Bombyx mori: one gene and its partners. The protein of the gene in region 2 interacts with the protein of the main gene of each other region in a biochemical or structural test. Links are inferred from orthologs where the notes say so. Each region holds a gene or a part of one and is shown on either strand. Other genes may lie near its edges.

Evidence for each region.
Region 1: the proteins of uncharacterized monothiol glutaredoxin ycf64-like (region 2) and bolA-like 3 form a complex in vitro, tested with the Homo sapiens proteins (4 studies listed by BioGRID and IntAct, with this or other methods). The link is inferred for Bombyx mori from reciprocal best matches to the Homo sapiens genes GLRX5 and BOLA3.
Region 3: the proteins of uncharacterized monothiol glutaredoxin ycf64-like (region 2) and bolA-like protein DDB_G0274169 form a complex in vitro, tested with the Homo sapiens proteins (2 studies listed by BioGRID). The link is inferred for Bombyx mori from reciprocal best matches to the Homo sapiens genes GLRX5 and BOLA1.

Annotation. Positions count from the first base shown.
Region 1 is NC_085124.1:484,781-488,769, forward strand, and holds bolA-like 3, read left to right. Parts: upstream 1-1,246; 5' UTR 1,247-1,457; coding exon 1,458-1,505; intron 1,506-1,577; coding exon 1,578-1,748; intron 1,749-2,960; coding exon 2,961-3,095; 3' UTR 3,096-3,366; downstream 3,367-3,989. UniProt on the Homo sapiens protein: Acts as a mitochondrial iron-sulfur (Fe-S) cluster assembly factor that facilitates (Fe-S) cluster insertion into a subset of mitochondrial proteins. Probably acts together with NFU1.
Region 2 is NC_085124.1:9,560,159-9,564,354, forward strand, and holds uncharacterized monothiol glutaredoxin ycf64-like, read left to right. Parts: upstream 1-1,446; 5' UTR 1,447-1,957; coding exon 1,958-2,210; intron 2,211-3,133; coding exon 3,134-3,321; 3' UTR 3,322-3,613; downstream 3,614-4,196.
Region 3 is NC_085115.1:575,870-580,008, reverse strand, and holds the start of bolA-like protein DDB_G0274169, read right to left. Parts: upstream 2,804-4,139; 5' UTR 2,673-2,803; coding exon 2,651-2,672; intron 2,152-2,650; coding exon 1,958-2,151; intron 1,593-1,957; coding exon 1,443-1,592; 3' UTR 1-1,442. UniProt on the Homo sapiens protein: Acts as a mitochondrial iron-sulfur (Fe-S) cluster assembly factor that facilitates (Fe-S) cluster insertion into a subset of mitochondrial proteins. Probably acts together with the monothiol glutaredoxin GLRX5. May protect cells against oxidative stress.

The DNA of each region.
Region 1 (3,989 bases), about 9.1 Mb from region 2:
GTGGCTTTAATTATCACTGCTGTCCCGCCGTGGGCTGTACCGTCTGGATGATTTGTGGAATAGATCTTATATCCTTTAATTCTTATCGAGCTGCTGGTCGTCATGTGTCTCTGAAATTAGGAGAATGTCTAGACTATGTAGACAGATCAGGATTTCCACTTCATCGATGTTGGGTGCCAAGCCATTGATGTTCCATGTAGTTATTTTTAGTGCAGTCATTTTACTAACTTAGAGGCTAGTACTGCAATGAGTTCAAGTAATGTACTCATTTGCTGTAGTACAGTAGCAATCTTTTGGGATTGTTTTATAAACATTTGTTCTATGACTTTATAAGAGTCTGGTTGATGGATTGTATTATTTTGATGTACCTTAGATCTGACTGTATAGGAATACGATTTCTGCTCATGTGCTTTTCTCTGCTTCTGCAGGGGTTCATTTTCCTCTTTATTCTGATTTGCAGATGTTTTATTATCAGTTTCTTTCTTATTTTTTTGAGGTTTATACTTAAATTGCTTATGTTTACGTGGTAAGTGTTGCGAGGTTTTCCTTGATAGGATTTACTTGTATACTTATCGTTGTATTCGAGTTTTCTCTAGATGAAAAATAATACAGGTTTACGAGTTAATAATCTTTGTTACACAAGAGGTGTAACCCAATACTGGTGGTAGGACATCTTGTGAGTCCGCGCGGGTAGGTAACACCACCCTGCCTATTTCTGTCGTGAGGCAGTAACGTACTTGAGACTTTCGAACTTATATGTCAAGGCTATGCATTGCGCTTCACATTTCATTTTATTTTTCTTAAAGCAGAATTTACAAAAGATTATGCTGTATAATGTGATCCTCTCGCCTTTCGCTTGGACAAATTCATAGATTATACGCTATTTAGGTACCTACCTACCATTAAGCGACAACTCTCAACCGAAACATATTGAAAAAATTAAATATATGAATAGACATTTACACGGATTTGAAAAATATCTATAAATGAAGAATACTAAATGATGAATCAAACCTTCTTTATAGTTTTTATACACAACTCTGTTTTATTCTTTTACTTGTCACCTCGACTTAATGTCATTCTCTCTCCATAAAATAAAATGTTCATTGTTTTACTTTAATTATCGTTTATTTTAAAATCCACAACACTAAAGAATTACCTTTTTTCCCTTGAAAAATAAAATTATATATTATGAAAATATTAAACTTAAGAATTGGATGTATGGCTTAGTTCCATTGCCTTTCTCTTCGAGAAAAACCCTTTATACCTACCATTAAAATTATTTTAGGTTAGGTTATCAAAATAAAGAAAAAAGTAAAAGTTTATAGTGAGGTACACATTCAAATTAAATAATTATGGTGTATCAATATTACGTAAAGATTTAATAAAAAATAAGTTTTACTCCTAACTACGTGTGCTAAACAAGTTTGCTGAAAATCCTAAGTTTTAAATACAAAATGTTTCGCAATTTTGTTAAAGTTTTTGAACCTGTTAAAAATCATTTAGTAGGTGCATTTATAATGAATATACATTTCGTGTTTTAAAATGTTATTGACTACATTAGTCTGCTTAATTAGGTGCGTGCGGTCGCTGGAAACGGGGCTAGTACAGGAGCTGCGGGCAGCGTCTACGAAAAGAATTGTGTTTCCAAAGAACAACAACTGACAGATGCATTGAAAAAGGCTATGCCGGGAATCACGTACATCAGTGTGCAAGATATATCTGGGGGTTGTGGCGCTATGTTTGAGGTATGCCAGACTAGTAAATAAATAAATAACTGATCATCCAGCCCCAAATTAGGATTCCCTGTGTTATGGGTACCAGTGAGATACATACTTATTTACCTTTAAAAATAAATATAAACTCCCAGACCAGAAGAGAAAACAAAATTGTTCATTATGCAACATTCAGGTGTGCTGTACTTTGCCACTGAGTATATTTCTAAGGAATTACATAATAATATACAGTTTGGTCATAAATACTGTTATAATAAAATAATGATAATGACATTACATTTGAAAAACCTGTCATTTTTATGATTGTAATTTATTGGGTTGGCTCTTATTTTTGCCAATTTTTGTCAAATATTCTTGTTAAGATGGATTGGATTATGAAAAGCAGGTGGAGAGTACTGTACTTTTTAAAAACACCTCTCCATCTGATTTATATTACTAAAGTAATCTATTGTATTACTAAAATAAAGTAGTAAAGTTAAATCAATTATTAACACTTTAACAAAGTGACTATAACCAGATTGGCAGTGACCATATATAATTTGACTATTCATTTTAGCTATTGACTATTTTTGTCCAGTAGGATAAGCTATACTAATGTCTCCATATCCTTGTTGAATTATAAGAAAATGCACGCACACCTAAGCTAGTCTTTACTTAGTGGCAGTCTCAGCCGGTAAATAAAGTGTTAAGCACATATCAAATGGAATGATAATGGCAATCAGAAAATTAAATATATGAATTTAATAAAAGTCCTCTGTTATTTTTTGAACTATTCATTATTTTATCATGAATTTATTATTTTTTGCTGAGATGTGTGGACCGCCTCATGCAGCCACCTGGTGTTAAGTGGTCACCGGAGCTCATATACTTGAACAACGTAATTGCCACCACCTAACTTGAGATCTAAATCTCAGTTTTCGCTACAAAGGCTGTGAAGTACTTAATTCATCAGAAAAATTAGTATATACCTGCCTGCGGGATTCGAACACCTGGACAGTCACATAGCTCGATACAAATGCACCGGACGTCTCATCGTGCAGGCGATGACCGCTTTTAAAATATCTATGGGCTCTGTTGATCACTTGACGTCAGACTGCCACCTAATTCACTCGTTTATGCAATAAAAAGTACCTAACTACAATCTGTGAAACAAGAAATGGAGTCTTATTTTTATTTTCCCCTCTATATATTAATTCACTACAAAATATTATTATTATTTCACAGATAAGTGTGGAAGCTAAAGAATTCGTAGGGTTGAACAGAGTGAAACAACACAGATTAGTAACAGATTCTCTGAAGAATGAAATAGCAGAAATGCATGGCATCCGTATTCACACGACGCCGGCCGCCACGCAATGAGAATATTGCTGAAGAGGGAAATAGCATCTAAATTTTCTGAAATGACGAATTTCTGGAAAAAATACATAAAAATACAGTTATTGCCATTAGACAAGTATACTTATACTGAAGATTCGCTTTGAAGTGAAAGTCAACCATTAGGAGCAGAATTTTTCCAATTTCTCATCCATCATTTGCAAATATGTACTAAGGTTATGATTTCAGATGAAACGAATAAAAGCATGTGCACTTGTAGAGACATCACAAATTTAATGGTTCTCATCATTCACATGCTCCAAGTATCTTGGAACTGCATCACACAAGCTAATTCCCTCTCTTCTTTTGTATTTTTATTGACCTTTTATGTACATAATTGTTGACATCATAAATTGTTAATATGTTGTAGTGATAGCAATAAGAAATTTTGTTGAGTATCGTATGATATGAATTATATTTGTTAAAATTTGAAATTGTAGATATATTCTATTTGATCAAAATATTTTTTGTTTTATATCTTATTTTCGTTCCCTATACATCCCAGGCGCACTTTGCAGTTTCAACCGTGTAAAATCTGTAATTTCGACAGTAACGACGATCATTAATGTGAGAGGCACCCGGAAGCCGCCGCCCGCTCCAGGCTCAGTACGACTTGAGTATGTGTAGCATTAAGCATTAAGCTCGTTAATGACGAGCTTAATTAAATCTAAACTGAACTCTTAACTACCATCTACTTTTTGTTTTGTATTTTTATTGTGGTATTCCCTTTTTTTAATAGCAGCAGCAATACTCTAATCCCCCCTCACAAGTACTAGCAGCTCTAATGAATACACTAAAGAATCTTAATCAACTGATCATATTATTTATTGTAAGCACAATAACGTTACCTTGAGTTCAAAGAGTAGTTTAGTATAAGTC
Region 2 (4,196 bases):
CATTTCATTTAACTTCATAATATAATTTGCTGAGTTCATTAGTACATTAATCAAATTACTTTCTCAACCTAATTTATCTATACCATCCCACGCTGCTAATTTAATTCATACTTACACTGATATTAATAATGGCCAACATGGACAGTTTCGTTCGTTTTTTATTATTCATAAACTGTAAATAGTTCAAACGGTAAAAAAAATCTTATTACTTGACACTGGCTAATGCACAAACCCGCACGGTTTAGCCACAATAAAAAAAGGTACCTATTATAATGTTAGTGATGTAAAGATGGAATAATACCGATATTTGTCAATATTACCTAATACGAATATATTCATGATGTAATATTATAATACCTTAACTAATACGTGAATATATCCTGATATCTTAATATACTTCGATAAAACGGGTAAACGAGTTAAACCTAGTACGGTATTCATGAAATGAGTTAATAATCATAGATAATACACATAAATTAGTTATTAAATTAATATAAATAGTATATTGTATGTAGGAATTTGACTTCATACTAAATATTTTACAAGTAATATTATGTACATTAATAGCCACGCTTGAAAGGCAAACGTGACTAAGCGTGAACTTTACAGTAGACTAATTTAAAGTTGAAATACCTGAAGAAAATAAAATATTTTAACGAATCTAGCTGTAATAGAATCTAGCTAGTAGCTGTAGGATTGAAATGATTTTAATAGACCTACAAATATACATTTTTTGCGCATCGAATATTGTTATTGCCTATCATTTATGTATAAAGCAGTTATTGTCGCTTAGTCACGTTTGCCTTTCAAGCGTCGATATGAATATTATTATTAAATCAGAATTTGGTCAACATTGTACATTAATATAAACAACAATTTAGTAATATTATTTATTTCTTATTGGTGCATAAAAACATCAGCTTTTTTACTTTTTCTACCGAAAGACTGGTACGACGCCGCGTCGGTCAGAAATGAGTATTCTAGAATTCGGAAAAACCTTTGACACGGTATTGAGGCTAGTAGGTACACAACAGTTATAATATTATTATTATAATCCATGAATCGTTTGGTTAGAAAGTCATTTCGATTCAAAAATCAAACTTTTATTTATATTTTGAGAAGTTCTTAGAATATAATTAAATACCACCACAAAAATATATTGTTATCCTAATTTATTACGTAAAAACAGTTGTGGCGGTATTACATTTTGTGTAAAAATATTTTAATTTATGAAATTGTTAAACAATGTCAACTACATACTTACTTTCGTTTTTCAAATTATCCTTTTAAAACCAACTAATTCGAAGGAAACAGAAAATTAAATTAAAATAATGGAAATAAAGCTCACCAATTTTATTCCAATAAATGTGAAAATGCACTATTTTGTCTTGAGTTAGAATCTTTAGTATGAATGAAATGAAGTTTCAAACATAAAAAAGTAATGCATTTGGAAATTCCCACTAGCATCTTTGACATGTAAAAAGTGCAATACAAAATAGTCCTTAAAGTCATAGCGAAATGTACTTATTTTCATTGCTCAGTATATAAACGTATAGATTATCGCACTTACTCTACGCGCATGCAGTATTGATATGAATGTGATAGACAGATATCCGCGAGACACGTACGGCGTATGCCAGTATATTTTCTTGTGATAGATACTTCGCTAGAAGTAACAGTGTTCTGTGAATAGATACAACCCGACCGATGTGAGTTGGCTAATATTATGAATAAGTGAATACGGAATATTAGCATATCAGAATTCGGCGGATTACCGATACACGAATGCAAGCTGTAGAATATCTTAGTGAATACTAACATATCGGTATCACCCTTAGTGAGGATATTGGTCATTCTGTCAATGAAATTTTAGTCTGAAATTTTTGCTTTATAAAATTCGTCAAAGAAAAACTGCGTTCATATCTAATATTAAAAACTAGAATATATCTGTGTTAACATGAACACCTTAGTCAGAAGAAGTTTTCAAGCATTTAATACCACATTGAAGATATCCTGTCGCGCATTTTCAGAAGCTGGAATAAATGACAAAATTGAAAAAATAGTAAAAAATAACAAAGTCGTGGTGTTTATGAAAGGCGTACCGGACGCGCCAAGATGCGGTTTCAGTAATGCTGTTGTGCAGATTATGAGGATGCATGCAGTTCCGTACGAGAGCCATGATGTGTTGAGTGATGAAAATCTTAGACAAGGTGAGTTCGATGCAAAGTAACCTATACAATAGTAGTGACTAGAATTACGTAAATTTTTGTAGTAGCAATAATTTCTTTTATTCAATGCTAATAACAAATATTTTAAGGTGCACTTATGTTGCAATAAACAATTCACATAGTCACTTACTGTCAAGATGTTATTTTCATAAAAATTGGTTTGATTACATGAAAACGAAACTTTCTTCATCCATACTACATGGAGCCACTGCGGTTATCCACAGTGCGTTTCCAGAGATCTTTTTTGCCATGTACCATCCGGCTATGGAATGAGCTTCCCTCCACGGTGTTTCCCGAGCACTATGACATGTCCTTCTTCAAACGAGACTTGTGGAGAGTATTAAGCGGTAGGCAGCGGCTTGGCTCTGTCCCTGGCATTGCTGAAGTCCATGGGCGACGGTAACCACTCACCATCAGGTGGGCCATATGCTCGTCTGCCTACAAGGGCAATAAAAAATAAAAATTTAATTGTTGTTGCATAAAATTTTGACTAGTGCATTACCTACGAGGCCTTTATTACAATTTGAAAAAGTGAAGTTTTTGACTAATGTGCCCTGCTGCCTACTTTGAGTATCATTTAAAAGAAAACGAATGTCATAAGATGATAGACTAATTATTTTACCCACTAGTTTGTGCTTTTAAATGTGATTGTCATTGAAATTACAATAGGCAAACGGAAAATGTATCTCTTATGGTACCGAAATTACAACACATTGAATGCCATAATGGACATCATGTGTCCGACAACATACTATTCCTTGGGGCTGTACTAATGTGTACTAATGTGTAACTCTAAAAATATGAATGAATCTCTACAAAAGCAATTTTTGTAAAAAGTAGATATTATCTCTGATATTGGAAATTGTTTGAATGTATGAAGTTACAATTATAACAATATTTTGCAGGTATAAAAGATTATTCGAATTGGCCTACAATACCTCAAGTCTTTATCAATGGTGAATTTGTTGGTGGTTGTGACATAATGCTGCAGATGCACCAATCTGGTGAACTCATTGAGGAACTGAAGAAAGTGGGTATAAAAAGTGCACTTTTAACAGCTGAAGAGGCAAAGCAAGGGGAGAAGAAAAATTAAAATACCCATCTCAGGTATTATGTATTTAATTTTGTAGTTTTCTATTTGTATTAGAAATTATTGTTTTAATTCATTTTAAGTGGTGGTACTGTATAGAAACAAAGACATAATTGTTAAAATTAAAGTATTTATGAAGAAATCTCTGATGTAATAAGAATTTGTTAAAGTGTGACGATTTTTTGTTTTTGAAAGCCCAAGTCCATATATTATTTGTGTTGTTTTAATAATTTTGTTGTAATAGTTATTGCTTAGTTTTAGGTAGTTATTGTGAAATAAAGTAATGCAAGTTTAAGAGCTCTTTATTTAATAATTAGCTGTACATTCGAGTTAGTATACTTTTTGGGCACATAATAATTTTTTCTTAATCTAAGTACCATACTCCATGTAAAATAAATTGGTTGGATTAACAATGTAGTCAATATTAAAAGACGAAAATATGGCAGATCATTTATTTACGAGTACTCATTCAAAAATACTCTCACAAACGACAATAAATATATAAAAAAAAAGATAAATAAATTGATGCAGGCAAGTTATGGCAATCTATGATATAAATAATTTGTGTGACACTTCCCTGCACTTAAGAATTTAGTAAATTTTAGTTTTGCTACCTTTGAAATAAAACATATTTTTAATGGTAGTTATAAAAATGAAACTTGTATAAATAAACTTAAAATAAAATAACAAAAACATTCTCACAATGTGAATGAGTCTTCATTTGGTGTCACACATTAGTCAAGCCTAACATTAGCACCATTTTATCTTACAAATAATTTTGTGACTTTGCTGAGAATTTCATATAAAAGTTAAAAAATATCTAATGCTATGATATAAATAGAGAGATTTAAACAATATAAATGATTTCTCCAATTTGA
Region 3 (4,139 bases), on a different chromosome or scaffold from region 2:
ATACGTCGCGAGTTGCGGCCTACTGACCCCTATAAAAGCAACTGTTATCGGATTTTCTTTATCAGTCGACTTTCACACGTTGACTGGTACATATCTCGGCTACTTTTGACCCTTTACCTTGTACGACAATTGGGACAACACCTACAGAAGTAGCACAAATCGTAGCCCTATTGCAAGAAGAGCTCAGCCAGCGGATTGTCGCTCGTCGGCTCCAAATAAGCCATTCCTGTGTTTCAAAAGTTTGCAAGCGCTTTCAAGAGACTGGTAGCTTTATCCCGAGACCAAGATCTGGACGGCGCCGGGGCACATCGGAGAGGAATGACCGTTTTATCGTGTTAACCTCTCTCCGAAATCGGCATTAACCTGGTGTCGACGTCCAACAGGAGCTCCGAGATGTTCGTAGGGTAGCAGCTAGCAAGTAGACAGTTCGTCGACGACTCAAGCAAGCGAATCTGACTCCAAAAAGGCCTGTCACAGGCCCGAAACTCACGGTAGCTCATCGACAAGCACGCCTTCAATTTGCTCGTACCAATCTTAATTGAGAGGTTGAGCAATGGAGGCAAATCCTGTTCTCCGACGAGAGCAGGATGTGTTTGCATGGTAGCGACCGAAGAGGTTGGGTCTGCAGGCGGCCTGGGGAGCGATTTGCGCAGTGCTGTTTCGCTGAAACAGTGGCTTATGGGGTCGGCTCTTGTATGATGTGGGCCGGCATTTCCTTCGACGGTAAAACCGAGCTTGTTTTCGTGCCTGGTGGGGGACGAGGAGGCGGTCAACTTCGGACGGGTACATTTCCAATATTCTGCTGGAACATGTCGTTCCCTATGCGGGATATGCCGGTGATCGCTTCCTCCTTAAGCACGATAACGCTCGTTGTCACACTGCCCGTGGAACAACTGAATACTTCGAAGAAGTCTATATCGCCACATTGGACTGGCCTGCGCTCAGCCCTGACTTGAATCATATTCAGCACGTGTGGGATGAACTGAAGAATAGGGTTCGTTCCAGAACTTCTGCTCCTTCATGCCTGAATGAGCTGAAATCGGCGTTGATTGAGAAGTGGGAAGGTATCCCACAAGAATCAATTCAAAAGCTGATCAGGTCTATGAAGAATCGTCTTCGAGGAGTTATTAGGGCAAGGGAAGGGAACACAAAGTACTGACATTTAATTTTAAGGCTAAATAAATTTTTTATTTATTAATTTTTGTTGTTTTATGCATTCATTATTTTTCCATATTTCCTTTGTTTCCTACCTCCTTCACTTAATCCGGAATAGCTCCTTAACTACTGGCTCGATTTGAATGAATTTGGTATCAGTTTAAAGTTAAGAGTTCAACCTTTAAAATGATCTCATTTTTATGATTATCAAAAAAATATTTAGTACACAAGATCGCGCGGAATCAATTTCAAGTAAGTGATTCCAAACTTTTGCTCGCGAGTGTAGTTTATTTACCAAATCCTCCTCTACAGTTGGGACTGTTCTCAACCAGTTTATCACTTTCCTCCCATTGTTTAGGTGTTTTTGCTACTATTGATAGTGCATGTACACCATTTTGAAGTTCTTCTGCCAATAGTTCATTGACTAAACGATGTCTCTGGAATTAGTTTTTAAATAATATATTTGTTGAATTTGAATATAAAAATGCATCCACTGATATGCCATGAGTAAGACAACCAGTTTACTTATATGAAGTGCCGTAATTTTCTTGGAGATTAAACCCTATAGATAAATCGAAACTGTATGTAGGCAGTGTCGTTTGCATTGTGATTTTAAGTTTTAAAACAATGTTAGTAGGCCTTTCAGATTTATAAGAAGTTAAAATTCATTTAGTTTGAGGTCTGATACTGGCATGATACTACAAATATATTAAATTAATAATTTAATTTTTTTGTTAACTCAAATGGTAGGAAAAAAAGGAACATTTCTGCTAGTATTAAGGGCAAAGCTCAGACAACTCACTTTTATAAGAGGTAAACCATCAAATTTTTCTGAAACAACTACTACTTTGAAGTGTGTTTCAGCTCCTTTTGGTACATTGTGCATGTAGGATTCATTTATCACCTGGACATGCTTTGATTCTAAAATTGTTAATAATTTATTTCTTATTGTACTTTCGACTATTCCTGATGCGGATGACATGTTTCTGATTGTTCCTGGAATGTATTAGTGAACCACAAAAGTTACAGTGAATTAAGAAAATCAGTTTCCTCAAATCTATTAGCAGCGTATTTTAGTGTAGTGGAGACGTGTCTTATATAGTTTAAAGTTGTTATATTAAGAATGGAATTGACAGAATTTGTTAAAAACCTTTATCACATTAACAAGATAAGCTTGTAGTACATATTTATGGGTTAAAACGACAATATTCGGACAGTTGATTTACTGACTATAATCAACCGCTTGATGGAAATCTCTCCCTTGGTCTTTTCCACTTACGTTTGTTCTTAGGTGTTTTTGTCTATCAGATACTTTTGGTCTTGTTTTAACGCCTTCATAAATTATATACTTTTTTGCTGGCACAGTAACCCGAATTGGATGCTAGTTAGCGACAGGGTGACGTATTAATTTAAAATAAAAGGTTTATTTGGTACATATTATAATATTTAATATCGAGTACTTTTATATAAAGAGCATACAAGAAGCGGCACTTACGGTGTTGAAAAAATCTCAACATAGATATAAAACGATACGATTTTAAGAATAAAATTTATTAGTTACGTATGTATGTACCTATGTGTTTTATAAACTTTTTCTTCTTTTACAAATGTTTTTGAAATGTTTCTGGTTTTGACAGTAATTATAGTTCCATTTTTCCAACTGAAATGGCGAAGATATCATACCATACAGCCAAATCTTTTGTATAATATGTTTTATGAAATGATACGGAGTGAAAAATGAAATGGATAAAATAAATTCTCAGTAGAATAATAGTGGCTTTATCAATTACCTTAATGGATTTTTTGGAAGAGTTCGAGAAGCCACGTCCAGCAACTTGTTTCATTTTCCTACAATTGAGCACTTTGACAGACGCAAAACAGTTAACATAGTGCAGTTATTTCATTTCGTTACATTTTCACACAACTACGGTCTTATTTTTTTTTATTTATGTACACACAGAAAACAAGACACAGTACAGAGTAATAGGAAAATTATGTACAAAGGCACTGCTTATTTCTTTGAGAAATCTCTTCCAGCAGACCTGCGAGAGGATAATGAGAATAATAATAAAAAGTGATAAGTGTGTGTAGAACAAATAACACATAACTAAAATAACAAATACAACATGAGAATTATAGCACATACACATAGCAAATATTATAAGTATCACAGTAACACTCGTATATGCGAAGAGTATAGAACCATGATCATTCGGTTGATGAGAGATAAAATTGTTTGACCTTGTATTTAAAAACAGAAACAGACTTGCAAACTCGGATGTCAGCCGGCAACGAATTCCACAGTCTGACCGCGTGCACAGTAAAGGAGTGAGAATAGAAATTGGTTTTGTGGGAAGGGAATAACAAAACAGAACGTTGGTTGGACCTGCAGGGAGCATCAGGAGAACGAATGAAAGAGAATCGCTCACGTAAATATAAGGGAGAAGTGGGCTTATGTAGGATATCCGCTCTTCTCGTTCCCGCCTTTAAGTTTGTTTTTGACAGTTGCGTTTTGTACAAAGTACCTTTGTTCCCCTATTTGCTGGTAGCATAAGAGGCTAATCCAGCTACATTGAGGACTATTTGGCGGGAACGCGTGGAGTAAAGTTGTGTGATTTGTTTTATTTTGTCTATTTAGTGTTTCTTCAGGATTAAATTTGTAATAACGGTGGTTTATTAACTGTTTAATATCTGTGAAAGTGCACAAATGTAGGAAAATAAAACAAAGCCGCTGAACGTAACTTCTCGGGATCCTTCAAAAAGTCCACTGAAAAAGTCTCATTCACCATTTTACTATATTATATTTCATCCCATATTATCTCATCTCGTCTCGTCTCCTTTTTCATTTCATTTCATAATATTATTTTCCATATAAAAAAAAGTTTTCATTAAAATTAAAATAAGACTCGATCTAAAGGTCTTAGTTACCAGGTCATAAAATCCCTTTAAAAAACCAGCTACGCCCTGACGGGTGCTTGAGGGTC